4 linked regions of the Saccharomyces cerevisiae S288C genome follow. Changing the gene in region 1 together with any one later gene gives a genetic interaction. Each region holds a gene or a part of one and is shown in the gene's direction. Other genes may lie near its edges.

The links.
Region 2: mutations in LCB4 (region 1) and SUR2 impair growth when combined (synthetic growth defect), as found in Saccharomyces cerevisiae (6 studies listed by BioGRID, with this or other methods).
Region 3: mutations in LCB4 (region 1) and CSG2 together harm fitness less than expected from each alone (positive genetic interaction), as found in Saccharomyces cerevisiae (4 studies listed by BioGRID).
Region 4: mutations in LCB4 (region 1) and SCS7 together harm fitness less than expected from each alone (positive genetic interaction), as found in Saccharomyces cerevisiae (4 studies listed by BioGRID).

What each region holds. Positions count from the first base shown.
Region 1 is NC_001147.6:651,510-658,924, reverse strand, and holds LCB4 (sphinganine kinase LCB4), read left to right. Parts: upstream 1-5,040; coding exon 5,041-6,915; downstream 6,916-7,415. Other genes in the region: MED4 (Med4p), read right to left, coding at 1-178; DCS2 (5'-(N(7)-methyl 5'-triphosphoguanosine)-(mRNA) diphosphatase), read right to left, coding at 600-1,661; YRM1 (Yrm1p), read right to left, coding at 2,355-4,715; GLN4 (glutamine--tRNA ligase), read right to left, coding at 7,193-7,415.
Region 2 is NC_001136.10:1,052,121-1,060,539, forward strand, and holds SUR2 (sphingosine hydroxylase), read left to right. Parts: upstream 1-4,430; coding exon 4,431-5,480; downstream 5,481-8,419. Other genes in the region: sphinganine-1-phosphate aldolase DPL1, read right to left, coding at 1-108; HDA2 (Hda2p), read right to left, coding at 503-2,527; mitochondrial 54S ribosomal protein mL67 MHR1, read left to right, coding at 3,092-3,772; ATP5 (F1F0 ATP synthase subunit 5), read right to left, coding at 6,056-6,694; rRNA-processing protein BFR2, read left to right, coding at 7,507-8,419. UniProt on the Saccharomyces cerevisiae protein: Required for hydroxylation of C-4 in the sphingoid moiety of ceramide. Catalyzes the conversion of sphinganine to phytosphingosine in sphingolipid biosynthesis. Involved in the response to syringomycin.
Region 3 is NC_001134.8:307,734-316,225, reverse strand, and holds CSG2 (mannosylinositol phosphorylceramide synthase regulatory subunit), read left to right. Parts: upstream 1-5,912; coding exon 5,913-7,145; downstream 7,146-8,492. Other genes in the region: ATP3 (F1F0 ATP synthase subunit gamma), read right to left, coding at 1-651; chitin synthase CHS2, read right to left, coding at 1,437-4,328; Cu-binding protein SCO1, read left to right, coding at 4,774-5,661. UniProt on the Saccharomyces cerevisiae protein: Required for calcium regulation. May regulate calcium accumulation by a non-vacuole organelle. Also regulates the activity of CSH1 and SUR1 during mannosyl phosphorylinositol ceramide synthesis.
Region 4 is NC_001145.3:807,199-815,401, reverse strand, and holds SCS7 (fatty acid alpha-hydroxylase), read left to right. Parts: upstream 1-4,624; coding exon 4,625-5,779; downstream 5,780-8,203. Other genes in the region: RCE1 (CAAX prenyl protease), read left to right, coding at 91-1,038; ZDS1 (Zds1p), read left to right, coding at 1,422-4,169; YMR272W-B (uncharacterized protein), read right to left, coding at 4,206-4,313; orotate phosphoribosyltransferase URA10, read left to right, coding at 7,854-8,203. UniProt on the Saccharomyces cerevisiae protein: Ceramide hydroxylase involved in the hydroxylation of sphingolipid-associated very long chain fatty acids. Postulated to hydroxylate the very long chain fatty acid of dihydroceramides and phytoceramides at C-2.

The sequences.
Region 1 (7,415 bases):
CAGATTCCACCAACTTACTCAATGTATCCTCGTACCGGCACAAATCTTCGTAGAGTTGGACCTTAGATAATTTGTCTTCACTATTCGTGTTTGAAGTAGCCTCTGCTACCAGGGATACAGAGGATGATCTGATGTGACCCATAGAAAACTCTACCGCTTTAGTATCTTGGACAGACATAACATTCGTTGTGTGTACTCTGGAAGTAATTGATACTAGATGCTTTCTCCACCGTTAACAATATACCAGAAAACCTTGTTGAAAACGGGACACGTTATAACTACTTTCCTTCGCGGTATGGTGAGCAGAGAATGCAAAAGTTTATCTTTTTCTCCAGCCTACCTTACGTAGGTGGTAATGCACTATTTTTTCGCATTTCTTTGAAAAGGCTGGCAATACGTCAAAGGCTATGTATGCTATAAGGGAAAGAAAGCTTATACGGAAAATAGCAACTGAATGTACTATGTTACTGTGCATTCGCATTCTATGTTAAAATTCAAAATCCATTGAGATGTATACACAAACATTTAAATAAGACATTTATATAAGCCGGCGCTTCCTGAAGTTCAGCACATGAAAAAATAGTGCTGCTCTTCTACCTTCAACCCAAATTGGTATTGAACCCAGAGCCTTTTTCAGGACTGGTTGCGATACCATCATGCTTCAGTTGCTTTTCAACTTCTTCCTTAAAGCCCTTTTTCCATAAATCATGATTTTCACCAATGACATAAGTAAGCGTCTTCTTCATATAACCTTCAGGACCTAAGAAACCCAACGCTTCTATAACATCTTCCAACAGTATTGTCATTCCGGAGCCTCTCTCCTCGCCTACTCCTGGATGCCTTATATTCACTATATGGACATGAAAATGGTAATATGAAGGTTGATAATGAATGAAAACTCTTAGCTCGTCCGGGTTTACATTATAGTCATAGTGCTGGGGGATGATGGTCTTAATCTTCTTATTGAGTCTAATTAACCAATCTCTATGGTTTGGGTTCAAATCTCTCAAAGATTTGATGTCGTCCCTGTACACGATCGCGACCAGGTATAACGAATCAATGTTGATTCCGTCCCACTTCATATCGGGCAAGATGACGAATCCATCCTCTTTATTCCTGCTACTGTATTCCTTATAAACAACTCTATCATCCTCGGCGCCCTCGTAAAGAATGTTGTTTACCCATTTCATTCTTTCGCTGGTACACATCTCTTGGATAAAGGGCACAACTATGTTTCTATACATATCAGGAGTTTCTCTGACGACATGTAAATCCTGCTGGTCGTATCCCTTGATGTGGAACTGCGAGGCGGGCCAAATTAAGTTAACCTTCGCAGTTGGGTTATGCAAAATATGCTGCTTCAAAACAGACAACCCCCAGTAGTAGATGTCATTCGAAGTTAATTCCTTCAGATCAGTAATACCGTTTAAAAAGGAGTACTCGTCTATTTCACGATGAAAGAAAATCGGAGTGCTACGGCCACTTTGAGAGGGTCTACGTACCGTTTCATCAAATATGAAATGCGTCTTTTCAGCAGTTAACACGGCATCCTTCCCATCTATGCTGCCTAGTAGTGAGATTACCTTTGTATGAGGGTTCGAATCTAACACCCTGACGTATTTAAACCTCCCAATTAAACTAGCTAAATCTTGGGAACCCATCATGTATTTTTTTACTTTTACACGCTCAAATCTTTTCAATTTTGCAATGAAAAGGTACCGACCTAACATATATTTGAAGACCAAACGAAACCCCCGTGCTTCTGTTTCTCTTCTTTCTGCCTTTATACTCATTGGTATTGTCACCCCTTATTTCCCCCCTAGGCGTCTGCGCGGCCGCTGTCATGGGGCTGTCCTTTCGGACTAGCATATAATCACTGACGCTAGCTCTAATCGATCAATAATTAAGTGGAAGTATTTTGTTGAGGTGGGTGATTATTATGGGGAAGATTTTTGACAATCGAATGAACACTTTAACAGCTTTTGGAGGCTAGAGTGCCAGTAAGCTCCATACTTCTTTGGAGTTGATTTCTTTTTCTTGCAGAATAGGTTGGACAAAGTACATCCATCAGAACAATTGCAGGTGCCTTTTGTTCACGCAATTACTGGCTTTTCCTTGTTTGTTTGGTCAAGAAGTTAGTGTTTAGCTTTTTCCCTTCATTTTTTTATTTTTCTTATTTTATAGATGCTTAAATGTCATTTTTGTCTTACTAATCATTAAATAGTTGGTCCGAAAGATAGGTCCAAGCGCAAGTCCAAGCCAATGGCTTGCTCTCGACTGTCTTCCATTACAATATGCAAGTTTTCTATCTAGCTGCTGTCGCAAGCATGTTTTTTTGTAAAAGAACTTCTCCTCTACTGCGTATCAAATAAATATTTATAATCTGGCTGACTCATTAGTTCCTCCCAGCCAAGGTTGTACGCCGTCCAAAATTCGTTGGATATTGTCTGTGCCAGTTCAGTCTCAATTGGCCCAGTTTCATTGTTATGCGAAGCGTTTTCGCTGTTATTTCGCACTTCCTCCGGGGGTAATCCTGGAGAATTTCCCGCCAATGGACTGGCGCTTGTGACGCCCAGGTCACTTAAACTGGGATCGATTGGAGTATTTACATTGTCAGTGAGCGAATAGGACCCATTCAATTCGTCTTGGAGTTGTTGTAACCATGTGTTTTCGACCTCGGTTCTATATTTGATTACTTTTTCCAAAACAGCTCTATATATGCTTTCCAGGGCGATGTTGATAACAAATGTATAAGAGCGAGCCATAATAATTCTTAACTGCTTGTTGTTATCATTAGACCATTTAGCAAATATATCTGAATGTATTTTGAAAGCAGTAAGTAAGTTCATAGCTTTATCCAACGGGATATTCAAGGTTGACAAATCCCAATCTGTGACTTCTTGATCTTTGATGTTGGATGATAGATAATAGCCCTTCTCAAAAAGAGTTAACTTATGATACAAAAACGCACAAAAGCCAGTAGAGGCCCTAGGAAAAAGGAAATTTGTGTATACTAAAGACAAGGCCATAAATGGCGGTAAATGAACGCAATTATGATCAAAAAACTCAGGAAAATGCTTCTCATCTAGGTTAAAACACAGTATGGTCGTATTGATGACAAGGGAAAAAGAGACCAAAATGGTTTGCAGGATGTTGTTCTCTAAAACAACGCTTTTTTCCTTGTAAATCAAATACCTCAAGGAATAAAACGTCAACAACAAATTCAAAACCTGCGCAAGCACTTTAATCTCGCACAAAGGAACTTTAGATATTAACTCACTGTCAGTGTAATATGATATTGGGTGGAATTCAGTCTCTACAAAGTTTCTTAGTTTTTTACAATTTTCGGCTAAGTCTGGAAATGCGCTTCTATCATAAATTTGATCTAGCATTGGTCGAGCTAATCTTAAAAACCTTTTAAGCTTGCCCATGCAGGAATTTGACTGATCGAAAAAAACCGTCGATGAATAATTGTTTGTATTTTTAGGCAACCTCTCACCATTCTCGCATTCATCGACTTGAAAATAGGATGAGTTAATCGCCAAACATCTCCCAATATTTAAAGAAACATTGAAATCTGATAATATAATCCAAACCCACAAATTTTCCAAACTTTCCATACTCCCCACAATATTTTCTTGATTTTTGTATATTTCTCTTATATTCAAGTGTAAACCCAGCATAATTGCCGTGCTGCATAATAAGTCAACTAGACTAATCATATGCGAATCGTCTCCACACGCCCAAATTAGTTCTCGATGATAGTATTTCAATAAGAGAAATTGAGCGCGTTCAATGAAATATACTTTAGCTGTTGACAGTCCCGTCAGCATGATGAGAAATTTCTCTATCTCTTCCGGAGTATTTTTGTAGAAATGGCGAATACACAGTATCATCAAAATAACTCCAATCTTATAATAGTTTTTCTTTGTCGATGGTAATAACTTTTCAATCCGCCTTTCACCGTTGGGTAACAGTTCGTCACTTGGAAGAAACGAGGAAGTGAAATCGTTTATTATTTTGGTTTTATCTAATACTTCACTAACTTCATTAGTTTCCAGTTCAGTATTGAAAAAGTCTGTTATAATCTTTGACGATTGTTCAAAAGATGGCAAAACGTTACAAACCTGTTGCAAGATGTCAGAGCCTGTCTTTTCTAACGGCGGTCCCTCTAGGAGTTGAGTTTCTGGCTTCATTGTCCATTTATGCCTAGCCTTCCATCTGTTTCTCTCGATTTTCACTTTGGACCAGAGCTGATTATACGTGTTTACAAACCGATTATCATCGTTTGAGAGATGCGTTCTCAAAGATGTAGGACCATATACTATTCTTCTTCCCGAGCCTTTACATTGTAAATAGTAAAAATTAGCGTAAGGGTTCCTAAATGGGCTCGTACTAAGCGCTACATCCTTCTCCGTCAACTCTTTGTCATCTAGTCTTTTCTCTAAATCCTCAATCCTTTTCAACAGTTCAATGTTCGGAGTACTGCCAAATAACTCTTTTGTTTCTATTTTGTGGGTGAATTTCTCTGTATACAGGCAACCAGAACGACCCCTCGTCTTACAAGTTGAGCACATTGGCTTCTGCTGGTCGCAACGTAATTTCCTTTTCCTACAAAAAGCGCATGACTTTATTGGTTTCCGTCTCTTCTGCGCCTTCTTTACAGTTTCCTCCGATGGGGAAGCTCTATCCTGTAAACTACCCCGCTTACTCATTAACAACTCCCTTTACCAGGACCATTCAATGTGCTTTCCCCTCTGACTTTCTATACTCTTGCCGTTATTATTACAATACCACCTGGCATTTGTCATTTTATCGCCTTGTAAACCATGGGTGTCACCCTACTGCCGAGCCTGAAAAAAACGTGCTGCAAGGGTCTTGAAGCAAAAAGATGATTTAACGGAAGAAAGGCATACAAGAAGGTGAAAATTCGTGTTTAACCCATCTGATACTTTCCCTTGTCTAACGTACTGATCCTGGAGGTTATCAAGAACACAAAAGTCTAGCAGCGAAAAGTACGCGAAGAATCTACTATAGATAATGGTGGTGCAGAAAAAACTTAGGGCTATCTTGACCGATGAAGGTGTATTGATCAAATCGCAATCACACCATATGTTCAATAAGCATGGTCAACTCAGAAGCGGAGATTCTTTATCCTTGTTGAGCTGCTTGTCCTGTCTGGATGATGGAACTTTGAGCTCTGATGGAGGTTCTTTTGATGAGGATGATTCCCTGGAACTGTTGCCTCTTAATACTACCATTCCGTTCAACAGAATTTTGAACGCAAAATATGTGAATGTCGGTCAGAAAGGCTTCAATAATGGCAAAATTTCTTCGAATCCTTTTCAAACGGAAAATCTGAGTTCTTCGTCTGAAAATGACGACGTTGAGAATCATAGTTTGAGCAATGATAAGGCTCCTGTAAGCGAATCACAGTCATTTCCCAAAAAAGACAAGTGGGATACAAAAACGAACACTGTGAAGGTGTCTCCCGATGATTCACAGGATAACTCACCATCTTTAGGGATAAAAGATAATCAACAGTTAATTGAGTTAACTTTTGCTGTACCCAAGGGCCATGATGTTATACCACAAAAATTAACCTTGTTAATAGATCACGTTTCTAGGAAATCGAGAGCAAATACCGGAGAGGAGAACATTTCTTCTGGTACTGTGGAAGAAATCCTGGAAAAAAGTTATGAAAATTCCAAGAGAAACAGATCGATATTAGTCATTATTAATCCCCACGGTGGTAAAGGTACTGCTAAAAATTTATTCCTGACAAAAGCAAGGCCAATACTAGTGGAAAGTGGCTGCAAAATAGAAATTGCATACACAAAATATGCCCGTCACGCCATCGATATTGCCAAAGATTTAGATATCAGCAAATACGATACCATTGCATGTGCCTCGGGTGATGGTATTCCATACGAAGTAATTAATGGGCTTTATAGAAGACCCGACAGAGTGGATGCGTTCAATAAACTAGCCGTAACTCAGCTACCTTGCGGTTCAGGAAATGCTATGAGCATTTCATGTCATTGGACAAATAACCCATCGTACGCCGCTCTGTGCCTTGTCAAATCCATTGAAACAAGAATAGACTTAATGTGTTGTTCCCAACCTTCTTATATGAACGAATGGCCAAGATTATCCTTTTTGAGTCAGACGTACGGCGTTATTGCAGAATCTGATATTAACACTGAATTCATCAGATGGATGGGTCCCGTTAGGTTTAATTTGGGTGTAGCATTCAACATTATCCAAGGTAAGAAATATCCCTGCGAAGTTTTCGTCAAATATGCTGCCAAATCTAAAAAGGAATTAAAAGTTCATTTCTTAGAAAATAAAGATAAAAACAAAGGATGTTTAACCTTCGAACCAAATCCTAGCCCAAACTCTTCGCCGGATTTACTATCTAAAAACAATATCAACAACAGTACAAAAGATGAACTTTCACCGAATTTTCTCAACGAGGACAACTTTAAATTAAAGTATCCGATGACGGAACCAGTACCTAGAGACTGGGAGAAAATGGATTCAGAGCTAACTGATAACTTAACAATCTTTTACACAGGGAAAATGCCGTATATTGCTAAGGACACCAAATTTTTTCCCGCTGCTTTACCAGCGGATGGTACCATTGATTTAGTCATAACGGATGCAAGAATCCCAGTGACAAGAATGACACCAATTTTATTATCCTTGGATAAAGGTTCTCATGTATTAGAGCCAGAAGTTATTCACTCAAAAATATTGGCTTATAAGATTATACCAAAAGTGGAGTCAGGTTTATTTTCAGTGGATGGTGAAAAGTTTCCTTTGGAACCCTTGCAAGTGGAAATAATGCCCATGTTATGCAAGACGTTGCTAAGGAATGGTAGATATATCGATACAGAGTTTGAATCCATGTAGATTAACGTTATATTTTCCTTCAAAAATGATTTTTTTGTAAAAAGAAATACTACATCGAAAAGAAAAGGCGATATAATGTTTCTATCATCGGAGTATGGTTTATATTCCATTTTTGTTTTCATTATAATTATACATCCCCAGTTATATATCATTAATACGTAACAATATTATGAGTTGGTCTTTATTATCTAATATAATTAAAAAATTTACACTATTACATCATTTTCAACCAATAGGATATATATATAAATATATACATATATGCACATTAAATCATTCACTTGGAAGTTGCGTCCTTCAAGCTAACTATTCTATTCAAAATAACCTTAGAAGTCGTACTCTCTTTATCCAGAGTGAAATAACCTACTCTCATAGCTTGGAATCTACACACTTCTTTGGAATCCTTATCTTCTTCAACATAAAATTCCGAGTTTTTAACAGAATCAACGACCCATGGACTGTTCTTGACAACGTCCCCGAAGTTATGTTCCATGACAGAT
Region 2 (8,419 bases), on another chromosome or scaffold:
GATGGTTAGAATCATAAACTGGGCAAAGTCGCCTTCTTCCCTTAGTAAATGAATTGGCATGCCATACCAACCATTAATTGATACTGTTTTATTTGATACTCCACTCATTGTATTAGATGGAAAAATCCCTTTACAGAAGCTAGCCTACTTGCTCGGTAAAGAGGATCTGGAATAGTTATAACGGTTGGAGAGGCAAATTGAGGGTTTTATTTATATGTGTACTGAAAATATACCAATTTTTTCAATCAAAAAACCCCGATGCGGCCGGCCGGTATATATGGTAACTAACATGAAATAATGCACCAGAGTAGTTGATGAAATGTTTCTGAAGAATAAGGCGATAAACGATAGGCAACTGTGTAGATTTAAATATTTGGCCAATCTCTATGTACTTTCTCTTTTTTTCCAGTGTCAAATACTTGTAGAAACAGTCTAATTCATTAAGAAAGTATATAAAATCTCTCTATATTATACAGGCTACTTCTTTTAGGAAACGTCACATTCATGTGTAATTAGGGGTATTGGATCTTGTTGATCTAAACCGTGTACCATTTGCGGCAGCTTTTTCCACCTGGACGTTGTTTTTGTTTTTTAAGTCGTACTGTCGGTTCATTAAGGTTATGTAATTCTTTAAGAATTTGTTTCTTGCTTTAAGCGACTGAAAATCATTCTGTAAACGTTCCAGCTCCTTCTTCAAGCTTTCTGTGGAAAATTTAGTCAGTGGACCATTAACTTCGTTTTCTAAAGACTTCATTGATTCTTGCAAAATTTTCAATGTTTGCGCGGACTCTGCGGCTTTTGAAGATTCTATTTGATATTTGGAACGTAGTTCATCATTGAGCTTTGATTTTTCCGCATTTGCTTGTTGGAGTTCCTTTAACTTATTAAAAAGAGTCGCATTTTTGTCTATGTATTCCTTCAACTTGTCTGCTAAGGCAGATCCCTCTTCCAGATGATTTTCTGATGAAATAGTATTCGAGGGCAATTTGTTGAAATTCTCTAGTTCCTGCCTATTTTTCAGTAAGTGATTTATTTTATTTTGTAGCTTGGTAGATTCTGTCATCGCATGCTTCAACCTTTTTTCAGAGTCATTAATGGATTTTTCCACTTCTTGTTTTTTCTTGAATGTAAGACCAACAGAATTCTTTATTTCGTCCAACTGGTTCTGCCGTTGAGTTTCGTTTAATCGTTTCTCGTACAGTGGAACAGTGCCTTTGGCATACTCGTCCTGTATATCTCGCAATCTTATGACGGCTCTATGCATTAACTCTGTTTGGTAGGTTTTGATATCCAATGGTCCGTCCCAAAGGGGCAATTCTGTAGACGAATATTGCAATTTTGTTAATTGAGGCTGCCAAAACCCAGAATCGCTCGAATCTTTGGAGGCCTCATCTAACGTTATCAAATCCAAAACCGGTAAAATGTTATTGCAATCTTTCCCCTCTAAACAACACTTTACCAATTTAATATAATCAATCTCACAGTTGTTCACCGGAGCATTCCTTGCTTGCAAAAAATATAGTAAGGAGGATTTGATCTCTTCATATTCTTGGCTATCATCGACATGACCGTTATTGCTCAAATGCGACGATTTAACACTTGAATTCTTGATTTCAGAATCTAACAAGTAATGATCTGGAGAATTTTGTACTAATAGCTTTATTATCGGAATATCCTTATTGGCATTATTCCTCAGTACCTGCAAAGCGGGCAATTCAACTTCCAACATTGGATCAAAACTAATTATCATATCTATATCATAGTTAGCCAATAGGTATTGATCGTGTTTGAGATGTTTGGTAGTGGCTAAAAACAGCCAGTCATCCGTATTTATTTTTCTTTTTTTCAGGTTTCTTTTCACTGAGTAATCATAGTCGTCCTTAGAATAACCTGTATAAGAGGTCGAATTGGAATTAGAGCTTGTGCTGCTTACAGAATTTGGTGTTCCATCTTTATTTATTGTGGAATCGACCGTAGGTAGATTAGGGAATTTGTGTTTCTCATTATAAAGAGATGTACCGGAAAGTCTCTTGGTTCTGAATTTCTTGCCTAATATTAAACCTTCTAGCAAATCTAATTCCTTTATGCTGTGTGCGATGATGGCACATTTTATAACTTCGTTTGGTGAGCCCTCTCTGTCTCTAAAGCATATCGAATTAATGAGCTGGTTGAGAACTTGAAACTTGTGGCTCCCAGCAATAGAGCTTTCCGTGGGCTCCATTCTCAAAAGCTGTCGAGGCATATAATGGTCCACTAGAAGGGAAGGATGATTGGCTATTGCTCTTATGTTTGAATCAAAGATATAGGTTAATTGCCTTTGTGATAGCGTTGGATACGGATGTGTTTCAGGGCCAGCAGGTAAGCCGGAAGGCTTGTTCACTGCATCTGCCTGTGGTTCTCCTATTATGCTTGCTTTGAATGACTTGGCGTGCAGGGATATCAAAATTTCTGATAAATCCTTTTGAAATTGGGTTAGCGTTACAGGTAAGTAATAGACTTTTAGTTTCTTAGAATTTTTCCTACTCATGTCGATAGTATTGTATCTATTTTCTTTATTTTTCACACACTAATGAAGCCAAATACTTTTACTACTACTTAAACGCCTTCAATCGTTCTCAATTCTGTCTTTTTAAAAAAAAAAATTTTTTGTTACCTCTCCTTTCTCGATGTTCTACTAGTTGTGGTTACTCTTCTGTGCCGCAATTATGTTATTTTAGTAGGACTGTATTTTTTTTTTTTCTTTTGTTGTCGCTTTTCTTATATATCTATATAACTATTTATTTGGGCTGTAGAGAACTTTCTCAGGAAATATAAACTAGGAGACATTCGTGTAAGCAATGAACCATATACGCCACGGTTAAATTTCAGACGTGCATAAAGTTGATGATTCCTGTCAAGTTAACGACTCATTTTGTACGGTAGACGGGAAAAATACATTTCCTACAATATTCTCTTTTCCGATATTCAGATACTAAAGGAAAAAGTGAAAGTAAGGCTATATGATGAAATGTAGAGGAAACGGAAAGAGGAGATCCTGTGAGGAATAAATAGAGAAACAGCGACGGAAAAATCGATATTTCAGGGCAAAAGCATGAAGGTAAACCATTCAATTTCAAGATTCCGCCCCGCTTCATGGTTCGAAAAGACAAAGATAATCCCACCCCAGGTATACATCTTTAGGAACCTAGAGTATGGACAAGTACTATATTCTCAATTTCCCAACTTTTCGCAAACACAGGTGGATAAGCTGTTTGTGAGACCAAACTGGAGCAACAGAAAGCCATCATTGAGAAGGGACATCTGGAAATGTATGTGTGTAGTGAACTTGCAAAACTATAAGCAGAGTGTCCATCTATACCAGAACCTCTGCCGGTTGAGATACCTCCGTGATGTGGCACAGCGTAAGGAGAGTGACAAGCTAAGAAAAAAGGACTCTAACGGGCACGTCTGGTATAGCGGACAGTATAGACCTACATATTGTCAAGAGGCAGTGGCAGACTTGCGGGAGTCCTTGTTGAAGGTGTTTGAGAATGCCACACCAGCAGAAAAGCAGACAGTACCCGCCAAAAAACCGTCCATATACTGGGAGGACCCATGGAGGATGGGTGACAAGGACAAACATTGGAATTACGATGTGTTCAATGCTCTGGGGCTGGAACACAAGCTTATTCAGCGTGTGGGGAACATTGCGAGGGAAGAAAGCGTTATTCTGAAGGAACTAGCTAAGCTCGAATCACATCCTACAGAGCAGACGGAAGTGTCTTCCCAGTAGAACGCTTCGTCATTAGATATACAAATGCAGGTAGAAAAAAAAACATATATAAGCTCATGTAAATAGTGCAATGCAAACCTTTCTGCCAAATCCCGTTCCACGGAAAAACACGTGCTGTGCGGGTATCCGCAAAAAGAAGATAGGTCAAAACAGGAATACACAGGGCTAGTCTTTATTACTGCCGCTGCTGCTGCTGCCGCTGCTACTGCTGCTGTTGTGTGACTTGAAACGCGTTTTATCCTCCTCACCTTATCGTCATTTCTCTATCTTTTTCACTTGCACAGCTTAATAAGCTTTTCGACCTCCTGTTTCCTATTGTCTTATTCCCTCACCCCGCGTCCTTCTTCGGGCAGTCGCGCTTTTCTCCGGCTTCTGCGGTTTTTCTTAGTCTTTCCGCACCAATTTTCACAGAAAAATTTCTTTTTGGGTTACTAAAAATTTCTTGTTTGCTATTGTCTTGATTTATTTCACTCTTTCTTCATCCTGCTGCGCTGTTGTTGCCGCATTTTTCGTTTCGTGTTTTGGGATTATAAAAGAAGTAACGATTTACATATCTTCTATTCCCTTGCATTTACTCCGGGTCTTCGTCTTTACTGTTTGGTCTGGGTATTTCTAACATTCTAGTCCGAAGAGGGTGTATACGAAAAGAAAATATACGATGAACGTAACATCGAATGCAACTGCAGCCGGTTCCTTTCCACTAGCATTTGGTCTCAAGACCTCATTTGGGTTTATGCACTATGCCAAGGCCCCTGCCATTAATTTACGCCCCAAGGAATCCTTGCTGCCGGAAATGAGTGATGGTGTGCTGGCCTTGGTTGCGCCGGTTGTTGCCTACTGGGCGTTGTCTGGTATATTCCATGTAATAGACACTTTCCATCTGGCTGAGAAGTACAGAATTCATCCGAGCGAAGAGGTTGCCAAGAGGAACAAGGCGTCGAGAATGCATGTTTTCCTTGAAGTGATTCTACAACATATCATACAGACCATTGTTGGCCTTATCTTTATGCACTTCGAGCCGATCTACATGACTGGGTTTGAAGAAAATGCCATGTGGAAGCTTCGTGCAGACCTTCCTCGGATTATTCCAGATGCCGCTATTTATTACGGCTATATGTACGGAATGTCCGCTTTGAAGATCTTTGCAGGCTTTTTATTCGTTGATACATGGCAATACTTTTTGCATAGATTGATGCATATGAATAAGACCTTATACAAATGGTTCCACTCTGTTCATCATGAACTATACGTGCCATATGCTTACGGTGCTCTTTTCAACAATCCTGTTGAGGGCTTCTTGTTAGATACTTTGGGAACCGGTATTGCCATGACGTTAACTCATTTGACTCACAGAGAGCAAATCATTCTTTTTACCTTTGCCACCATGAAGACTGTCGATGACCACTGTGGGTATGCTTTGCCACTTGACCCATTCCAATGGCTTTTCCCTAATAACGCTGTCTATCACGATATCCACCACCAGCAATTTGGTATCAAGACGAACTTTGCTCAACCATTTTTCACTTTCTGGGACAATTTGTTCCAAACTAACTTTAAAGGGTTTGAAGAATATCAAAAGAAGCAAAGACGTGTCACCATCGACAAGTACAAAGAGTTTTTGCAAGAGAGAGAATTGGAAAAGAAGGAGAAACTCAAAAACTTCAAAGCTATGAATGCTGCTGAAAATGAAGTAAAGAAAGAGAAATAACCCTTTTGCATACCTCCCGTTCAATTGCTGGGTAAAGGCAATGTCTCCGACTTCCCACGTTTGTATTTATTATCCATTTATATACATCAAGACATATTATTAAGTGTATAGGCGTGACTTTGACTATATATTTGATTTGTAACGAAAGAATACATCAAAATTCAACTATGAAATGGTTATTATTGTGCATGCACATCTTGAATTATCAAAAAGGTCTTAAATGTTCTTCGGACTTTCTTGAAATCTTCGAAAACTGATGAGAATTCTTCATTATTTTTTTTTTTCTTCTTTTATTATTTTTTATGTTTATTCCATATATACACTTATAATTTTTTTTTTTGCGATTAATATAAGTTTGCCTGGATACACGAACATATATATGATTAAAATGGTTGTCTCGAACAAAAAAATTCACTTTTTAGAGGGGTTTCTTATTTATTCGTATATGTACGTAATTTTGATGTTTAGGAAAAATTCACGGAAAAGAATATATATTTGAACAGAATCAAAAATTAGGAGGGAGGCAAAGAAAGTAACATCAAACGAGTTGAGCATATCCAACTATATTATTAACGTTAAATGCTGTCCTCTAAGACCTTATTCAGTTTTTGAATCTTTGTAGAAATGCTTAAGTCAACAGTCTTGTCACCAAGTTCTACAATCAAACCACCCTTAATCTCTGGCTTAACCACGTTTTCCAGCTTCAAAGATTTACCTTGCCCCACCAATTTGGAGGCGCTCAAAGCTTTTTCAATCCTCTTGAAAGATTTAGGATCCAATGGTTCAGCACTAGTCACTGTACCTTTAAGTAACCCGTTGTGAGCATCGTTTAAAACGCCAAAGTCAGACGCAATTTTTTCAAAACATCCCAGTCTGTTATTTTCGGAAAGAACCTTCAATAGGTTAACGACATAACCATCCAAATTCTTGTGAGTCTCCACGATGGCATCAATGACAGAATTTCTGTCCTTCAATGACAATGCAGGATTCAGTAATAAGTGACCTAATTTTGGATTCTTTTTGACTGTGCTTTCAACTTTTTGCAAAGATTGAAAGGCAGCATCAATAGAGGAGTTCTTTGCAGCGGCCTGATATAAAGCTGTTGCGTAAGTGCCCTCAACACCGAACAATCTCACCGGTGGGGGAGCAGCAGCTTTGGAAGCAGCAGCTCTTAAGCTTGATGCAAATGACCTGGTAAAGACTCTATTAAACATGATTGTCCACGGTTTAAAAATAATGCGGTAACTTGCTAATCGGTTCTTACTCTGCGGAAAAATATCTCAATGCCACAGTAGCCTGCTTAAATTTCCAAGTTGACTGAATTTTGTTTTCAATGAGATAAAAACTAGAAATACTGTACACAAAGTTAACAATTGGCGTTTGAAATTGTTCCTAGATAATTGAAAGTTTTACTATCTCGCCAAAAGATCACTTCATTATCTTTAATTCCTTGTTTTTCCCACCCGGGCCCGGGTAAATGATATTTCAAATATCAGCATCTTATTGGCCAGCACCGTCTCTCGAAAGTGTCCACTTTATGACGACGGCATAAAATATAACGATTTATTGGACGTAAGTAGTTTTATAAGTTACTAAACCAAGATTATTCCGGCAAAAAAATGAACTTTAAGAGATATCTGAGCGCTTCGTATTTCTTGGTAGTCCCTTATAATGTACTACATTTATGTAGACCAGGTTTGCAGCCAGATCTTACGGGAAAGAGATTTTACGGCTCCCAGTCCGAGCTTTTCCATATACTACTCTAATATACAATGCATTCTTAGATTTCTTAACTGCTGCATATGCTGTCTTTGGTCCTTTGCAAGCCTATTACTGCGGATTTAAGTTTTTTCCACTGATCGTTACCCGAATTTATGGGTTCTGAAAAATTAGAAGATGGAAAATTTTTCAATACGCGATGAGATGAGATAATTGTATATATGTAGTCGCATCTTGATAGGTATGCAGCGTACCATACATTGAGTAACAATAAGCACTGTTACCAATAAATATAGAGCAAAAAAAGATGGAAAAATCACTAGCGGATCAAATTTCCGATATCGCCATTAAACCGGTCAATAAAGACTTCGATATTGAAGATGAGGAAAATGCATCTTTATTTCAACACAATGAAAAAAATGGAGAAAGTGATTTAAGCGACTATGGAAATAGCAACACAGAAGAAACCAAGAAGGCGCACTATTTGGAGGTGGAAAAGTCTAAGTTAAGAGCAGAAAAAGGTTTAGAACTAAACGATCCAAAATATACAGGTGTTAAAGGTTCAAGACAAGCATTATATGAAGAAGTTTCCGAGAATGAGGACGAAGAAGAAGAAGAAGAAGAGGAAGAAGAAAAAGAGGAAGATGCTCTTTCATTCAGGACAGATTCTGAAGATGAAGAAGTAGAGATTGATGAAGAAGAATCAGACGCGGACGGCGGTGAAACGGAGGAGGCTCAACAGAAAAGGCATGCACTATCGAAACTAATTCAACAAGAGACTAAACAAGCTATTAACAAACTGTCTCAATCAGTTCAAAGAGATGCTTCGAAGGGTTATTCCATTTTACAACAGACAAAATTATTTGACAACATCATTGATTTGAGAATAAAACTACAAAAAGCTGTAATTGCAGCAAATAAGCTCCCATTAACTACAGAGTCCTGGGAAGAGGCTAAAATGGATGATTCAGAGGAAACAAAGCGTTTGCTGAAGGAAAACGAAAAACTGTTCAATAATTTATTCAATCGGTTGATAAATTTCAGAATAAAATTCCAACTTGGCGATCATATCACTCAAAATGAAGAGGTGGCGAAGCATAAATTGTCCAAAAAAAGATCTCTCAAAGAGCTTTACCAAGAAACTAATAGCTTAGACTCAGAACTAAAAGAGTACAGGACTGCCGTATTAAACAAGTGGTCTACCAAAGTTTCTTCTGCAT
Region 3 (8,492 bases), on another chromosome or scaffold:
GTTAAAGATCGGTTTTTCAGATGGTTCAAAAGATAGGGAAGACACTGGGTCATTGTAGAAAATGGAAATCTTTGGGTAAGTGCCGGCCTTCATGACACTCAATAACTTATCGGCAATCAAAGCAGATTCTTGGAAAGTTGGGGCATCTTTACCAATTCCATTAATAGACAATTTAATGTTGTTAGGATGGGTTCTCAATAGCTGCATTTTAATTTTATCACCAATAGTGACTATATCGGCGTTTGGTTGATCATTCAAATGTCTTCTCACAGCTTTAGCCAATTGAGAGTGGATAGAACCACACAACCCCTTATCAGAGGTGATAGCAACAATCAACTCTTTAGGAGCACCTGTTTCAGTAGCCTCAACATCCAAATTTTTGGTTTCGGCGTTCTTGTAAAACAACTGCTCTGCTTCATCCATCTTCTTTGCGGAAATTTTAGCCTTTTCAGCTTTACTCAATCTTGTAGATGCAACAATCTTCATAGTTTTTGTGATCTTCTCAATATTTTTGATAGATTTCAAACGCATTTCCACTTCTTTCAAAGTAGCATAAGTTCTCACTGGGTTAGTCTTATAAAGAATACCCACTTGCGCTTGGTGGCACATTACGGAGCGTGTTGCATTGTTTGATACAATTCTTGACAACATGACTACTAAATAAAATAATGTTTACTGCTCGTCTTCAATTGTTTCCACCTGAAATTAACCAAAACGGTTCAGTCTCAATAGTTTCTTATTTGTCTTTTTTAACTGAGTGATAATCATTTAAGCATCTCCCTTCCGGGCCTTCTTTAATCGTTATTGCGGTCCGGGTTCCTCGCGTAGTTACTCGCCGCTCATTGGTTCTCCATCACGTGATAAACATTTCTTCCAAATAAATGAGAACGTTCATTAAATATCGAATAATTCACTTATTATATCTCCATCATATACTTACTAGTTCTAGCGACAGCTCCTATTCATATATCTTCTTACTTTTTTTTTGTTTTATCGACAATTGCTCTACGTTTCGACGTCTAGAAAATGTACTAAAACAGTGCGCTCTCTACCCATAAGGATGAAGAATACGTAATAACAAGAGTTTATTCTCCTTAGTATGTATTTGATAGCACACTCAGAAAGATGAGTTACTACTTGGAAAATCTCAAAAGCTCTTGATGCCCAGCTCATACATAAAAAAACGCCGGAGAACTTTAGCGTCACCAGTTACTGCGACACGGCTTTTAGAGAGGAAAGTAAAGGTCTATGAGTAAAAAGATAGATTATGTTATGCTACATTATATTTGGTATTGAAACATGTATATTATATATAAAAAGTCTAAGAGAGAAATGTCAAAATATCCTAGAAGGTAATGGTTGTCATAACCTGTACATTCTAAAACAGAATGAGAAAAAAGAGGGAATGACGAGAAATTAGCTGAAAAATACTGGCATTAGCCCTTTTTGTGGAAAACATTTGGTAAGTCTAATTTAGAGACTTCCCATGAGCCGCTACCTTCAACTTTATTTCTGTAACTCACTATTATACGCAAGTATTTCATGAACAAAAAGGCCATGGAACCAACCACCCTAAAGGCAGCTAAAGCGGCCACAGACCATAAAATGAATATCAAATAACCATTGTCAGTATCTTGTGGTGTAAAGACTTGAATTATAGACATGATCAGTATTAGATTTGATAGCATCCAAATCATCACAATTCTGGTTCTTATATCTCTATAATAATCATTCTTGGATTGTTTTTCATTGCCGCTTGATTCTTCAAATTCTGGTTCTTTCAAACGACTTTTTATTTCCAAAAACTTCTTATCAACTTCCTGAGGCCAATCTGTTTCCACAATCTGTTTCCCATCTGGACCTTGAACGACAATGGCCTTGGACAATTGCTTGGACTCCTGTGTGGAACCTTTAGTACCCCAGGAAACGTCGTGTGTATTACAGAAGGCAAAAATCTGTAAAGTACACGTAAAGGCGGGAAGTGTCAAAAAGTATTGTATGGATGATGTAAACATGTGCCAAGGATCTAGGTACATCAGTGATGAGAAAAAGTATAGGCCATAGGTGGAGAGCAATGAGATAACGATGTCGACAAATATTTTGTGGGATTCCGTTCCAGAAGCTAACGACTTGAAAGCAAAAACAAACCCACAAATTAGAGAATATGTGGCACATATAGACAGTATAACCATGGAGGTAATGAATAAATGTTTCGCGCCCTGGGGTCTATTACCCATGGAAATAATGAATAAACTTGCCAAGTCACAAAAGATCAGGTATTTAAAAAAAATGAATAAGGCCTCACCATGTTTAATAACTAAATTCATTGATCCTGCTAAATAATAAAAGGTAAGAACGAAATTTGCAATAGAAAACCAGGAAAAAAGCATCTGAATAAATTGATAAAGGAATTCAACATGAAGAAAGAACTTGCGTACAACAGAATGTTTAGTTTTCCAAATTTGGTAGAAATGCAATTGAGCATAAATTGCGGCAAACATTGCACCATTTAACCAACGTCTTCTTTGAGAAATAAATTCAGAAACGTCTTCGGGAACATCCGTTTCACCAGTGGCTTCCTTAACATATTTTAGAACCCATTTTGCATCTCGCTTGGCGACCAATTCCCAACAAAGAATTCTATCTTCAGCCAAGTACATATTTGCAGTGAAAACATCATGGTCTCTGCCTTCTTGAGTTTCACCAAGGAAATACGATCTGAGAGGGCCAGTGCCATCTTCATGATTTTTTAAGGCTCTATACCTATATGCGGACAGGGCACCAGGAAGAACAGAGATATAACCAAAAACACTTTCTAATGGTTTATCTAAAATATTCGAGATCTTATATTCAAAATTTTGCGATGCAACTAATGGATTGAAAAGTTTCAGTCCCCACTTCCCCTTCATAGTCTTAATCTGACCAGCCGCACCAGCCACATTTGAATCCATATCAAAAACCTTCCATAACCTGTAAATTGCTGTATTGTTTAAACGTGTACCGACATCAACCAAAGTAACTACAGTAGGTTGCAAAACGGGACAAAACGCGTTGAATAGCCAACGATGGGAATTGATCTTTTTCTTATTTTCTTCTTTTAGACAAAAAACCAATTGCACAGGAACAATGTCCTTTGAAACATAATCCAGATCGGCGTTGATAGAGACCTGAGTTGTCAATTCAAAAATGTGCGCTTTTACCGGATCACCATTCACAGACGCCTTGGCCATATCTTCTTGATAAACACCCAAAGCAGCTAAATAGTCGAGAGACCCTTGGTTGACTTTTGCTCTACCGTCACTAATCAGAATTACAGAGACTTTCTTCCAGCCATTGGGGCCCCAAACATGAGATTTTTCACGCTTACAAAGATGAGCAACATTCTTCATAATGGAGTGGATGGTTCTTGCCAATGAATATTTATCTTCATTGTACATGGTAATACAAATGGCAATTTGACATTCTCTGTTCATCTCTGCGAATCTCAAAGTGTAACCTTCTCTCAAAAAATCGTCAGGTTCCACAGTGCAGGCTGTATATCTCATTTCCGTAAACTCAGGGGAGTTCCTACGAGGCAAAGTATCCAACAGACCTTTTGGTATCGGGTTGTCTAGTTTCAATAGTGCCTTCTTCTTGCTTGGGGGAGGCAAGTCTGAGACCATTCTTCTCTTACTCTCAGAATTGGCACGTCTTACATACTGCTGTCTTGTTGGATGGTTCAGTTCAAATTTTGTTTCATTGAAAGTGTCTGCAGAGAAAATTGTAGACTGATCATCATAGGAAGTAGTCGAAGTGAGGTATTTTTCCTTTTCATCGTCTGCTTCTGCCAGAGAGGGAGCCGTTGTGGAAGTAGTAGACATCGTGTATTTCGAGCTTTGAGAATACAATCTGCCACTTCCAAACAGATTGTTACTGGGCTGTTGCTGGGGTGATAGATGGTAGGGGTCTACCGGTAGATCTGCATTATCGCGGGGGTAAAGGTTACTCCCCTCACTTAGATGTATGACAGCCTCGCCTGCTCTTTTGGGAGACTCTTGTAGATTAGCAGCATACCTGTTCGGAGCAACTGGAGAGTTATGGGCACTATCGCGGTAAAATTGAGTTCTATGGCGACGGTCTGGGGAGTATCTTAGTGCAGCTCTCGAAGGAGATGCCGGAAGGCCTTGGAAAACGTTAGATTGGTCATAGCTATCCTCCAAACTCTCCTCACTGGGATTAGCCCACCGAGAGTTGCTGTTAGCGTTTGCGTAAAATTTGGAGAGGTTTGAAGCACCACGTCTATTAGGAGAGCCATTCGAAGGTTCCACCATAAACGGGTTTCTCGTCATTTCTATATGTGGTTCTTTGGTTTTTATTTGGGTCTATATGTAACTTCCTCTGTTTTCTCTTCTGAGTCACGAAATCAACAGTAATATTATGGAAGATAGTTAAATAGACTGGGGCCATCCCAAGGGAGAGTCCTCGAATTCCCAATTGAAACTAAATTGAAGTTCTGTAAATTTCAATATCGATGCTATCATACTCAAATAGGAAATATATAAACAAATAGTATAGGGGTTTATACTAGGGTTTTAAACCCCAAAAAACTAACCCTACTATCTTCTTTTCAGACCCTAAATTGAAGGAAATAAACGGGAATAATAATCAATAGCGATCTCCCGAAGAGAAAAGTGAGAAAATAGTATAATTGTGTCTATTGTGTTTATAATCGGCATTAGAAACGTATGTTCGTATAAGGCAAGGGAAACAGAAAAAACAGCAAACGTAGAAAAGATGCTGAAGTTGTCAAGAAGTGCCAATCTAAGATTGGTCCAATTGCCAGCCGCAAGATTAAGTGGCAATGGCGCTAAATTGCTCACTCAAAGGGGATTCTTTACTGTAACGCGCTTATGGCAGTCAAATGGCAAGAAACCATTAAGCAGAGTACCTGTGGGCGGTACTCCCATTAAGGATAACGGCAAAGTGCGAGAAGGCTCGATCGAGTTTTCCACGGGAAAGGCCATTGCTCTATTCCTAGCAGTCGGTGGGGCACTTTCTTATTTCTTCAACAGGGAGAAACGCAGATTGGAAACACAGAAGGAGGCTGAAGCAAACAGAGGATACGGTAAACCTTCACTTGGGGGACCCTTCCATCTGGAGGATATGTATGGCAATGAGTTTACGGAGAAAAACCTTCTCGGTAAGTTTTCTATAATATACTTTGGGTTTAGTAACTGTCCTGACATCTGTCCTGATGAACTGGATAAGCTAGGTCTATGGCTTAATACACTCTCTTCAAAGTATGGTATTACTCTGCAGCCATTATTTATAACTTGTGATCCAGCAAGAGACTCCCCTGCTGTATTGAAAGAGTATTTGAGCGACTTTCATCCCTCCATCCTGGGTTTGACGGGGACGTTCGATGAGGTGAAGAACGCATGCAAGAAGTACAGAGTATACTTTTCTACGCCTCCAAACGTCAAACCGGGCCAAGATTATTTGGTAGACCATTCCATCTTCTTTTATCTCATGGACCCTGAAGGACAGTTTGTTGATGCTTTGGGTAGAAATTATGATGAAAAAACGGGCGTGGACAAGATCGTGGAACACGTTAAGAGTTATGTGCCTGCAGAGCAGCGCGCCAAGCAGAAGGAGGCATGGTACTCCTTCTTATTCAAATAAGATTGTAAATATATGCTACTTTCTTCCTTGTATATACATATATACTTATAACGCTATAACCCGTTCTTGTAATATCGGCTATCACCCGGCGAAGGTGTATCGCAAGAAAAAAAAAAGCTCTCTCACTCTAAAGGAGGCTATGTGAACGTGGGAAGATCAAGTGAAAGAAATGTTTGTAGGCCATTTTCTTCCAGAACAGATCCGCTCTTGAGCTGGTGAGTTAGCACGATAACAAACAAAGATACAGCGTCATGTCTACCACACTACTTTGGTTTTCAAGTGTAATAGGCTACGTGATTCAAACAAAATGTTTGTCTAACATACAATCTAAAAAGGAAATCTCCGTGGGGCCCAATGGTACAATTGCAACGCCTGAAACTAACGGCGACAACGGAAACTCAAGTTCATTAACCTTCTATCTGACCTTTATGTATTTTGCTTCGTGGCTGCTCTTGGTGCCTGCATCTCGACTTTGGGAGAAGATGAGACCGATGTTTGTCTCTGACTCAGACTCGAACAGGAATTCTCAGTTTGACAACAACAACAGCGGGTCTGTGACAAACGAAGATGTCGATACGTTCTCGCACGTGTTGGATGATCCTCAACCACGGATTCCAGCCCAACAGCAGAAGCAAAAAATCATATCCGTGGCTACCTTCAAATATGTGGCTAAGCTAACAGTGCTGGCTCTCATAATGATTGTCGCTGATTTGACTTATAACATGGCTTTGTCATTGTCACCGGCATTTGATGTTGCTTTGATGCAAAATACTGCCATTTTCGAAATTGTCACTTTACTATATGGTGTTTGTGGAATCTCCAGGAAGAACTACGTTTTCCGTAATTTCCTCATCATGATGAACGCGGTCATTGGAATTTTGATCATCTCATACACGAAGGCTACCTGTGACATGCTTGCCGGAAAGCTGTCCGTCAACCCTAACACGGGTGAACTTTCTGACCCATTCTTGTTTGATAGGTTGAAAGGTGCTCTGATTTGCGGCCTTGGTGCTTTGATTATGGGTCCTTTTGCCGTGTTATGGAACCGTTGGTTTTGCAGTAACATTTCCAAGAACGAAAATTCTGCTGTAGTCTTGGTTAAGCAGAGCACCCACATGGCCCTAATCGGTATTATTGGCATGGTAATACTTTTGCCATTTATTCCTAAATTTCCCTCCCGTGAGTCTGTGGAATCCATTTCGTTGTTCTATAATGACAAGAGCTTTTGGTTCTCTCTACTAGGCTCGATTATCTTTGGTTCCTTGCCGAGCTTGATTTCGATATTAGAGTTGAATCGCAAGGCCCCTGCTGAGTATTTGACGACGTGCAACCTGGGAGCTATTATCTTTATGGGGTTAGCTGAGTGGGTTTGCGAACCTACGCAAACCACAATTGTGAGATGGGAAGTCATAGGATACATAATGCTAACGGTAAGTTTGTTGGTCCTATCAGTAACACTCGGGGAAGGTAAATACCACCATTAGTACGGACAACATACTTTATATGACTGATGATGATGTAACAAGCATATGCAATTATTTGGTTTCCCTAAATAAAAAATCCCAATCAATATCTTGATTATTTTCAAGACAATTACTAGGATGTTCTTCTATTTTTTTATTTTTATTTGTATATTGTATATTCTAAAAAGAAGAAGCCATTTGGTGGGCTTTATTATAAATATTAAGAGGCATACCTCCGCCTATCCGCCTATCCTCGTCATGAACAATCAATTAAAAGCGCTTATAAAGCGATATACAAGTACAGTACGCGCGATTTCTACAATACAAAAAATATACATCAAGAAAAAAAATGTTTCCAAAAATTATCTAAATGCATCGAAGGCATTAGGAGAAGTAGCTGTGAATACAACACCAAGATTCATAAAATGAACACACGGTTCCTTCCGCTTGGAAAATAATGCGACAAAAATACCGTATTGATCATCAAAGTAGTTTTAATAGATACCTAAAAAAACCATCTTGAAAAATCTCAAATTACGTTCTTGATCTTGTGTCATTGTTCAGTTACTGATCGCCCGCAAACCTAACCGATGCTTAAGAAAGGACACCCTTGCCTTTTGGCTTATTTACCTACTCGTATTTTTCTCTGTCACATCGTTCGATGTACGGGGCACATTTGGAAATTTCATCAGTAAGTTCAGTGAATAGATTTTTTATTTTACCTTTTTGTAGTGGGATTTATTCTTTTAAAGGCAAAAATCTACTGAAAAAACGGAAAAAACTAGAATAAACCATTTCTATATATACTCATGTTCCCTGACGTTCTTTTTCCTTTTTCTTTTTCCAGAGTTAACGATAAGATAGACATAAAGTGACAGCGCTTAGCACCGTCTGTTTGCAAATCTAACTTAAACTCCTTTTTTTCTGTCACCTTAAACAGTGTCAGAAAAAATACTAGGTATAAGAAAACGAGAAAAAAATAAACAGCGAACTCGTGCAAACTTTGCTAATAAACAATTAGCTGTAACATTTGTGTGTGGGTGTGGTGATGGTAGGCTTCCCATGGTAATTAAAAGGTTAGGTCGAGAAGAGGATCGGTACGAAGAAGGAATAACAGGAATAAGTTCAAAAACACTGCTTTAGCAACTAAATGCAATAGCAGTGTTTAAGAATTTACGGTTTGCATTTTCTAAACTCAGATTTTAGCCATCTATAAGTAGAAACACAATAAAAAACCACAAATTGCGCACACACAAGCATCTACACTGACACCAGCATACTCGAAATTCTTTGGAAAAGAAAAGAGCAGCAGGCTATCAACTGAAAGATCAATCCGAAATCCGACACTATCTCTTCACCATCGAGTGC
Region 4 (8,203 bases), on another chromosome or scaffold:
ACATAGAATTTTCTTTGTCAAGAAAAATAAAACGAAATAAATTGATGCTTTGACTACTGACTGTCTGTCATAGAGAGAACCAGAACAGCAATGCTACAATTCTCAACATTTCTAGTGCTCCTATACATCTCCATATCCTATGTGCTACCGCTATATGCAACTTCACAACCAGAAGGGTCTAAACGAGATAATCCTCGAACGATTAAATCTCGCATGCAAAAACTTACAATTATGCTAATTTCCAACCTTTTTTTGGTGCCTTTTTTACAATCTCAATTATCTAGTACCACTTCACATATAAGTTTCAAGGACGCATTTTTAGGCTTAGGTATTATCCCAGGTTATTACGCTGCATTGCCAAACCCTTGGCAATTCAGCCAGTTCGTGAAAGACTTAACGAAATGTGTTGCGATGTTATTGACCTTATATTGTGGACCCGTTTTAGATTTTGTATTATATCATTTATTAAATCCAAAGAGCTCTATACTTGAAGATTTTTACCATGAATTCCTGAATATTTGGAGTTTCAGGAATTTTATATTTGCACCAATAACTGAGGAAATATTTTACACGTCAATGCTTTTGACTACGTACTTAAACCTAATACCGCATTCGCAACTAAGCTATCAACAGTTATTTTGGCAACCATCGCTTTTTTTTGGACTTGCGCACGCACACCATGCTTATGAGCAATTACAGGAAGGCTCCATGACAACTGTTTCCATTCTGCTGACAACATGCTTCCAAATTTTATACACAACACTTTTTGGAGGGTTAACCAAGTTTGTATTCGTAAGAACAGGCGGGAACCTATGGTGCTGCATAATCCTGCATGCCCTTTGCAATATCATGGGGTTTCCTGGTCCTTCAAGATTGAATTTACATTTCACAGTAGTAGACAAGAAAGCTGGACGCATTTCCAAATTGGTCTCAATCTGGAATAAGTGCTACTTCGCACTGCTGGTCCTTGGATTAATATCCCTGAAGGATACCTTACAAACTCTGGTAGGAACTCCTGGTTATAGAATAACCCTTTAGCCTTTTTTACGTACTTGTATACCGTTTAAAATTTCCTATGTACTATAACCTTTTTTCACTACTATTATGGAATTCTATCGAGCGACCGGGCTTTTGTTACGGAAGAGTGAAAAAATCGAGTTTTGGTGTTTTGGTGAAAGAATTTGGAGGACTATAAAGTACCTATACTTTGTATTACGGACTCAATAACAAGTCGTTCGTGTCAGTGGTATTGAAGTTGTCAGATCTAAGAGTAGAGAGAAGGTGGCATCTAATAGGTTTCGACGTTTTTCTTTTTTTAAGGTTTTTATTTGGTCTCCTAGAATTTAAGGTCTTAGTTAGTTTTGGTTTGTTTTGTGGGTTACATATTTTCAATTCAAAGGAGAATTTAGCTGTCTTTTATAATGTCCAATAGAGATAACGAGAGCATGCTGCGTACTACATCAAGCGATAAGGCGATCGCTAGTCAAAGGGATAAACGGAAGTCTGAAGTTTTGATTGCTGCACAGTCCCTTGACAATGAAATCCGCAGCGTAAAAAACCTAAAAAGATTGTCGATTGGGTCAATGGATTTACTTATTGATCCAGAATTAGATATAAAATTCGGTGGGGAATCTAGTGGGAGACGATCATGGTCTGGCACGACATCCAGTTCTGCGTCAATGCCAAGTGACACAACCACCGTTAATAACACACGATATAGCGATCCAACTCCGCTAGAGAACTTGCATGGGAGGGGTAACTCAGGGATAGAATCCTCCAATAAGACTAAACAAGGTAACTACTTAGGTATAAAAAAAGGTGTTCACTCTCCATCCAGGAAATTAAATGCTAACGTATTAAAGAAAAACTTATTATGGGTTCCCGCCAATCAACACCCTAACGTTAAGCCTGATAATTTCCTAGAGCTTGTACAAGATACTTTACAAAATATACAACTAAGCGACAATGGTGAAGATAATGATGGGAATAGCAATGAAAATAACGATATTGAGGATAATGGGGAGGATAAAGAATCACAATCATATGAAAATAAGGAGAACAACACTATCAACTTGAACAGGGGGCTGTCAAGGCATGGAAACGCGTCACTAATACGAAGGCCTTCAACATTGCGGAGGTCATATACAGAGTTTGATGATAACGAAGATGACGATAATAAGGGAGACAGTGCCTCTGAAACAGTAAATAAAGTCGAAGAAAGAATCTCCAAAATAAAAGAGAGACCAGTGTCGTTAAGAGATATAACTGAAGAACTGACAAAGATCTCAAATAGTGCAGGACTAACCGACAATGATGCCATTACATTAGCCAGAACTCTTAGTATGGCTGGTTCATATTCAGATAAAAAAGATCAACCACAACCGGAAGGGCATTATGATGAAGGAGATATTGGTTTTTCAACTTCACAAGCGAATACTTTGGATGATGGTGAATTTGCCTCCAATATGCCCATCAATAATACCATGACATGGCCTGAACGATCGTCACTGAGAAGGAGTAGATTCAACACTTATCGAATCAGGTCACAAGAGCAAGAAAAAGAAGTAGAACAAAGTGTGGATGAAATGAAAAACGACGACGAAGAACGTCTAAAATTGACCAAGAATACAATAAAGGTCGAAATAGATCCGCACAAATCCCCTTTTAGACAGCAAGATGAGGATTCTGAGAATATGAGTTCGCCTGGGTCAATTGGTGATTTTCAAGACATTTATAATCATTACAGACAGTCTAGTGGCGAGTGGGAACAAGAAATGGGAATAGAGAAAGAAGCCGAAGAGGTACCCGTCAAGGTTCGAAATGACACAGTAGAACAAGACTTAGAGTTAAGAGAGGGAACAACAGACATGGTAAAGCCAAGCGCAACGGATGACAACAAAGAAACGAAGCGACATCGTCGAAGAAACGGATGGACATGGTTGAACAATAAAATGAGCAGAGAAGACGATAACGAAGAAAACCAAGGGGACGATGAAAATGAAGAAAACGTGGATTCACAAAGAATGGAGCTCGACAATTCCAAAAAACATTATATTTCTCTATTTAATGGCGGTGAGAAGACGGAGGTGTCAAATAAAGAAGAAATGAACAATTCAAGTACTTCCACCGCCACATCACAGACAAGACAGAAAATCGAGAAAACTTTTGCGAACCTATTCAGAAGAAAGCCACACCACAAGCATGATGCATCATCATCACCCTCGTCGTCACCATCATCGTCACCATCAATACCAAATAACGATGCCGTGCACGTTCGCGTGAGGAAAAGCAAAAAGCTTGGTAACAAAAGTGGAAGGGAGCCGGTTGAACCCATTGTGTTGCGCAATCGCCCTCGTCCTCACCGTCACCATCACAGCCGTCATGGTTCCCAAAAAATAAGCGTAAAAACCCTTAAAGATTCTCAGCCGCAGCAGCAGATACCATTACAACCACAATTGGAAGGCGCAATAGAGATAGAAAAGAAAGAGGAAAGCGATTCCGAGAGCTTGCCCCAACTACAGCCGGCCGTTAGTGTAAGTAGTACCAAAAGTAACTCTAGAGACAGAGAAGAAGAGGAGGCAAAGAAAAAGAACAAGAAGAGGAGCAATACGACAGAAATTTCCAACCAACAACACTCCAAACACGTCCAAAAGGAGAATACCGATGAGCAAAAAGCTCAACTACAAGCTCCAGCTCAAGAACAAGTCCAAACTTCAGTCCCAGTTCAAGCTTCAGCCCCAGTCCAAAATTCAGCCCCAGTCCAAACTTCAGCCCCAGTTGAAGCTTCAGCTCAAACTCAGGCTCCAGCGGCACCACCATTGAAACATACCTCCATATTGCCCCCAAGAAAGCTTACATTTGCAGACGTCAAAAAACCTGACAAACCAAACTCCCCGGTTCAATTCACAGACAGTGCCTTTGGGTTCCCACTGCCTTTGCTGACAGTGTCTACGGTTATCATGTTCGACCACCGTCTACCAATTAACGTCGAAAGGGCCATATACCGGCTGAGTCACTTGAAATTGAGCAATTCGAAGAGGGGACTGCGCGAGCAGGTATTACTAAGTAACTTCATGTATGCTTATCTGAACTTGGTTAATCACACTCTGTACATGGAGCAGGTAGCCCACGACAAAGAACAACAACAACAACAACAACAACAACCCTGAAAAGGCTTCAGCGCTGCATACATAGACATATACACATCACACGTACATACACGAAAAGATAGCTTTCATGCTCACAAAGCTACGTTCCCCACAGAATATTTCCCAGGACAACAGGGAAAGTTGGACAAACACCAAACTTCTCATAATACAATAGCCGAAAACAGTCTTGCTTTTGATAAAGAGAGCTTTCTGCGGCCGGAAGAAAATGTGCCTATTCCGCGGGGCCGTTCCGCGCAGAAACTACCGCACGACGTCGGAAATATAACGGGGTTTTGCGCGGATTTACTGACGTGTGACATCTTTTCGCAGTTAATTTTTTTTTCAATTTGGAACCGTATAAGAACAGAGGTATTAGATAGTAGAAGCTATTGTGTCTATTGTCTTTGATTAGTTTTTTTTTCTATTGTTATCGTGGCAGGCACTAAAAGCGGTGGTAAGCTAAAACTAGTACGAAGATGTCGACTAATACTTCCAAGACTTTGGAACTGTTTTCAAAAAAGACGGTACAAGAACACAATACTGCCAATGACTGCTGGGTCACTTATCAAAACAGAAAGATTTATGACGTGACCAGGTTTTTGAGCGAACACCCTGGTGGTGACGAGTCCATCTTGGACTATGCTGGTAAGGACATTACTGAGATCATGAAAGACTCAGATGTGCATGAACACAGCGACTCCGCGTATGAAATCCTTGAGGACGAATATTTGATTGGTTACTTGGCAACTGACGAAGAGGCAGCGAGATTGTTGACTAACAAGAACCATAAGGTTGAAGTGCAGTTGTCAGCTGACGGTACTGAGTTTGACTCCACTACTTTTGTAAAGGAGTTGCCCGCCGAGGAGAAACTAAGTATTGCTACGGACTACAGTAACGACTACAAAAAGCATAAATTTTTGGATCTGAACCGTCCTTTGCTGATGCAGATTCTGCGTAGTGATTTCAAGAAAGATTTTTACGTTGACCAAATCCATAGACCAAGACATTACGGTAAGGGGTCTGCCCCGCTATTTGGTAATTTCTTGGAACCATTAACTAAAACAGCTTGGTGGGTTGTTCCAGTTGCTTGGTTGCCTGTAGTTGTGTACCACATGGGTGTTGCTTTGAAGAACATGAACCAGCTATTTGCATGTTTCTTGTTCTGTGTCGGTGTCTTTGTTTGGACTTTGATTGAATACGGTCTTCACCGTTTCCTATTTCATTTCGATGATTGGTTACCTGAAAGTAACATCGCATTCGCCACACATTTTCTACTACATGGTTGCCATCATTACTTGCCCATGGACAAGTACCGTTTAGTTATGCCACCTACTCTGTTCGTCATCCTTTGTGCTCCATTTTACAAGTTGGTATTTGCTCTGCTGCCACTTTATTGGGCTTACGCTGGTTTTGCTGGCGGTCTTTTCGGTTATGTCTGTTATGACGAATGTCATTTCTTCTTGCACCACTCTAAATTGCCTCCCTTCATGCGTAAGTTGAAAAAATATCACCTGGAACATCATTATAAAAACTACCAACTGGGATTTGGCGTCACATCCTGGTTTTGGGACGAAGTTTTTGGCACCTACTTAGGCCCCGATGCCCCATTGTCCAAAATGAAATATGAATAATTATTGGTCAGCCTCGTCCAAAATTGTCAACCTAGGAAAAACAACATTACGAGCAATGAAATCTTGAGCAAAGTTCTTTTCTGCGACATATTTATTTCAAATCTTTATTTATATTATTATATGTAACTACGTATATATACATACACATGGAATGGAATCATAGATGAAATCGATGAACAAGCACGTTATTTCTTAAACGAATATCCAATCGATGACGACTATACGAAAAAGCGGCCTCAAAAAAGAACCGAATTGACAGGTACATTTTTCTTTCACAGATCAGGTTGGCAAAAAAATACTAACCGTATCCTGTGTTACTGTCGTTAGAACAGGAATCAAGATGAGCACAGTGAAGTTATCTGATAGTCCCTAGACTCTCATTGACTTTTTGTAATATTAGGACACAGAATATACTAAGGGTTCTTCTCGAGAATAAATGAACACATAAGCAAATCAGAAATTCTACATACTATAAGAGTACCTCATACCTAATCATTTCTTAATCCATTCCGTTATCAGTAATTGCATTCGAGGTTCCATTAAACTGGTGCCGACATTTATATAGTTATATTGGTCCAATGATCTTATCATCCTCCACACCGTATACAACTATATCTTAGTAAACAACGGCTAGTAAGTGAAACGATGGTCCATTTTAGGCACGAAGAATAAAGTAAAATCTGTATCTGCGTTGCGCAAATCATCAATTGCATTTATGTTGGAACGAGAGTAATTAATAGTGACATGAGTTGCTATGGTAACAATCTAATGCTTACATCGTATATTAATGTACACCTCGTATACGTTTAAGTGTGATTGCACCTATTGCAGAAGGAATGTTAAACGAGAAGCTCAGACAATACTGAAGCTGTGTTAAAGACCTATTAGTTGAACATGTTATGGTAGGTACATATATGAGGAATATGAGTCGTCACATAAATGTATAGTAACTACCGGAATCACTATTATATTGGTCATGATTAATATGACCAATCGGCGTGTGTTTTATATACCTCTCTTATTTAGTATAAGAAGATCAGTAATTATTTCTTCATTAATACTATTTTTTACCTCTAATTATCAACAATTTACATAGCCCAAAGTCATGAGGAGAGCTTCTACTATAAACCTCACTCACAATTCTTTCTTTAGTCAGACGTAGAAACCTAAGATTTGTTAGTATATACGGTTTTCCGTACCAGTACAAGATCCATTGCTTGCGATATTGTTAAAATAGGGACCATCTTTCTTAAAAAGGTTCCATAAAACCGGAAGTTTTAGTGTACACTAACAACAGAAGAAAAAGGTCCTATAGTGTAGTGGTTATCACTTTCGGTTCTGATCCGAACAACCCCAGTTCGAATCCGGGTGGGACCTTCCCTTCATTTTTCGTATTTTACGAAATTTAAACCATCATTTTTTTTTTTTGAACCAATGCGAGAAAAAAATAAAAAGAGAAAGGTAAGAAAAAGAAACCAACCTCTATACAGATACAATCGCTCATCTCGATATACTTATTTTTACATACCAGAGATATCGAAGAAGTTACTCAATTATTTGACAAGTGCTCATCATTATGTCATTTGAAGTTTTGCGTGTGACAGACAAGTCCTAATAGGATATCCTTTAGATAAACCATTGGGGCCCCTTATATGAGGTTTATACACACACATATATATGTATACATATGGCTAAATTGCCTTCTGAGAGCCTGATAGTTTTTTTAGCACTTTATTCTTTCACTTGTATTTTTTTAGACATTTCACGTATTCGGCTAATGGTATGGCACTTTCTCACGTGCCTTTCAGACTATGTAATATAAACTGTTCTAACCTGCTCTACACCTGACTCACATGACAGCATTTCCTTTCAGAATCACATAACATTTTTTGGTTTTAATTATCATATGCATTTCAAGGGAGTCATACATAACCTTTCGGGAAAGGCCCCTTCGCTTCCTAATCTAGGGTAAAAGGCCATCACAGGCTCTTTTATATAGATTAAGAACTAAGGAAGTGTCACGCAAAATAGTCGAGACCTAGAGCCATCAAGAATAATAAAACATAATCCAATAATGTCTGCATCTACTACAAGTTTAGAGGAATATCAAAAAACTTTCCTTGAACTGGGATTAGAATGCAAAGCACTAAGATTTGGGTCATTCAAGCTGAATTCAGGCAGGCAGTCGCCATATTTTTTCAATCTTAGTTTGTTCAATTCTGGAAAGCTGTTGGCAAACCTTGCCACCGCGTATGCAACTGCTATCATTCAATCGGAGCTTAAATTCGATGTTATTTTCGGACCTGCTTACAAAGGGATCCCTTTGGCTGCTATTGTATGCGTTAAACTAGCAGAAATCGGGGGCACTAAATTTCAAGGTATTCAATATGCTTTTAATAGAAAGAAAGTTAAAGACCACGGCGA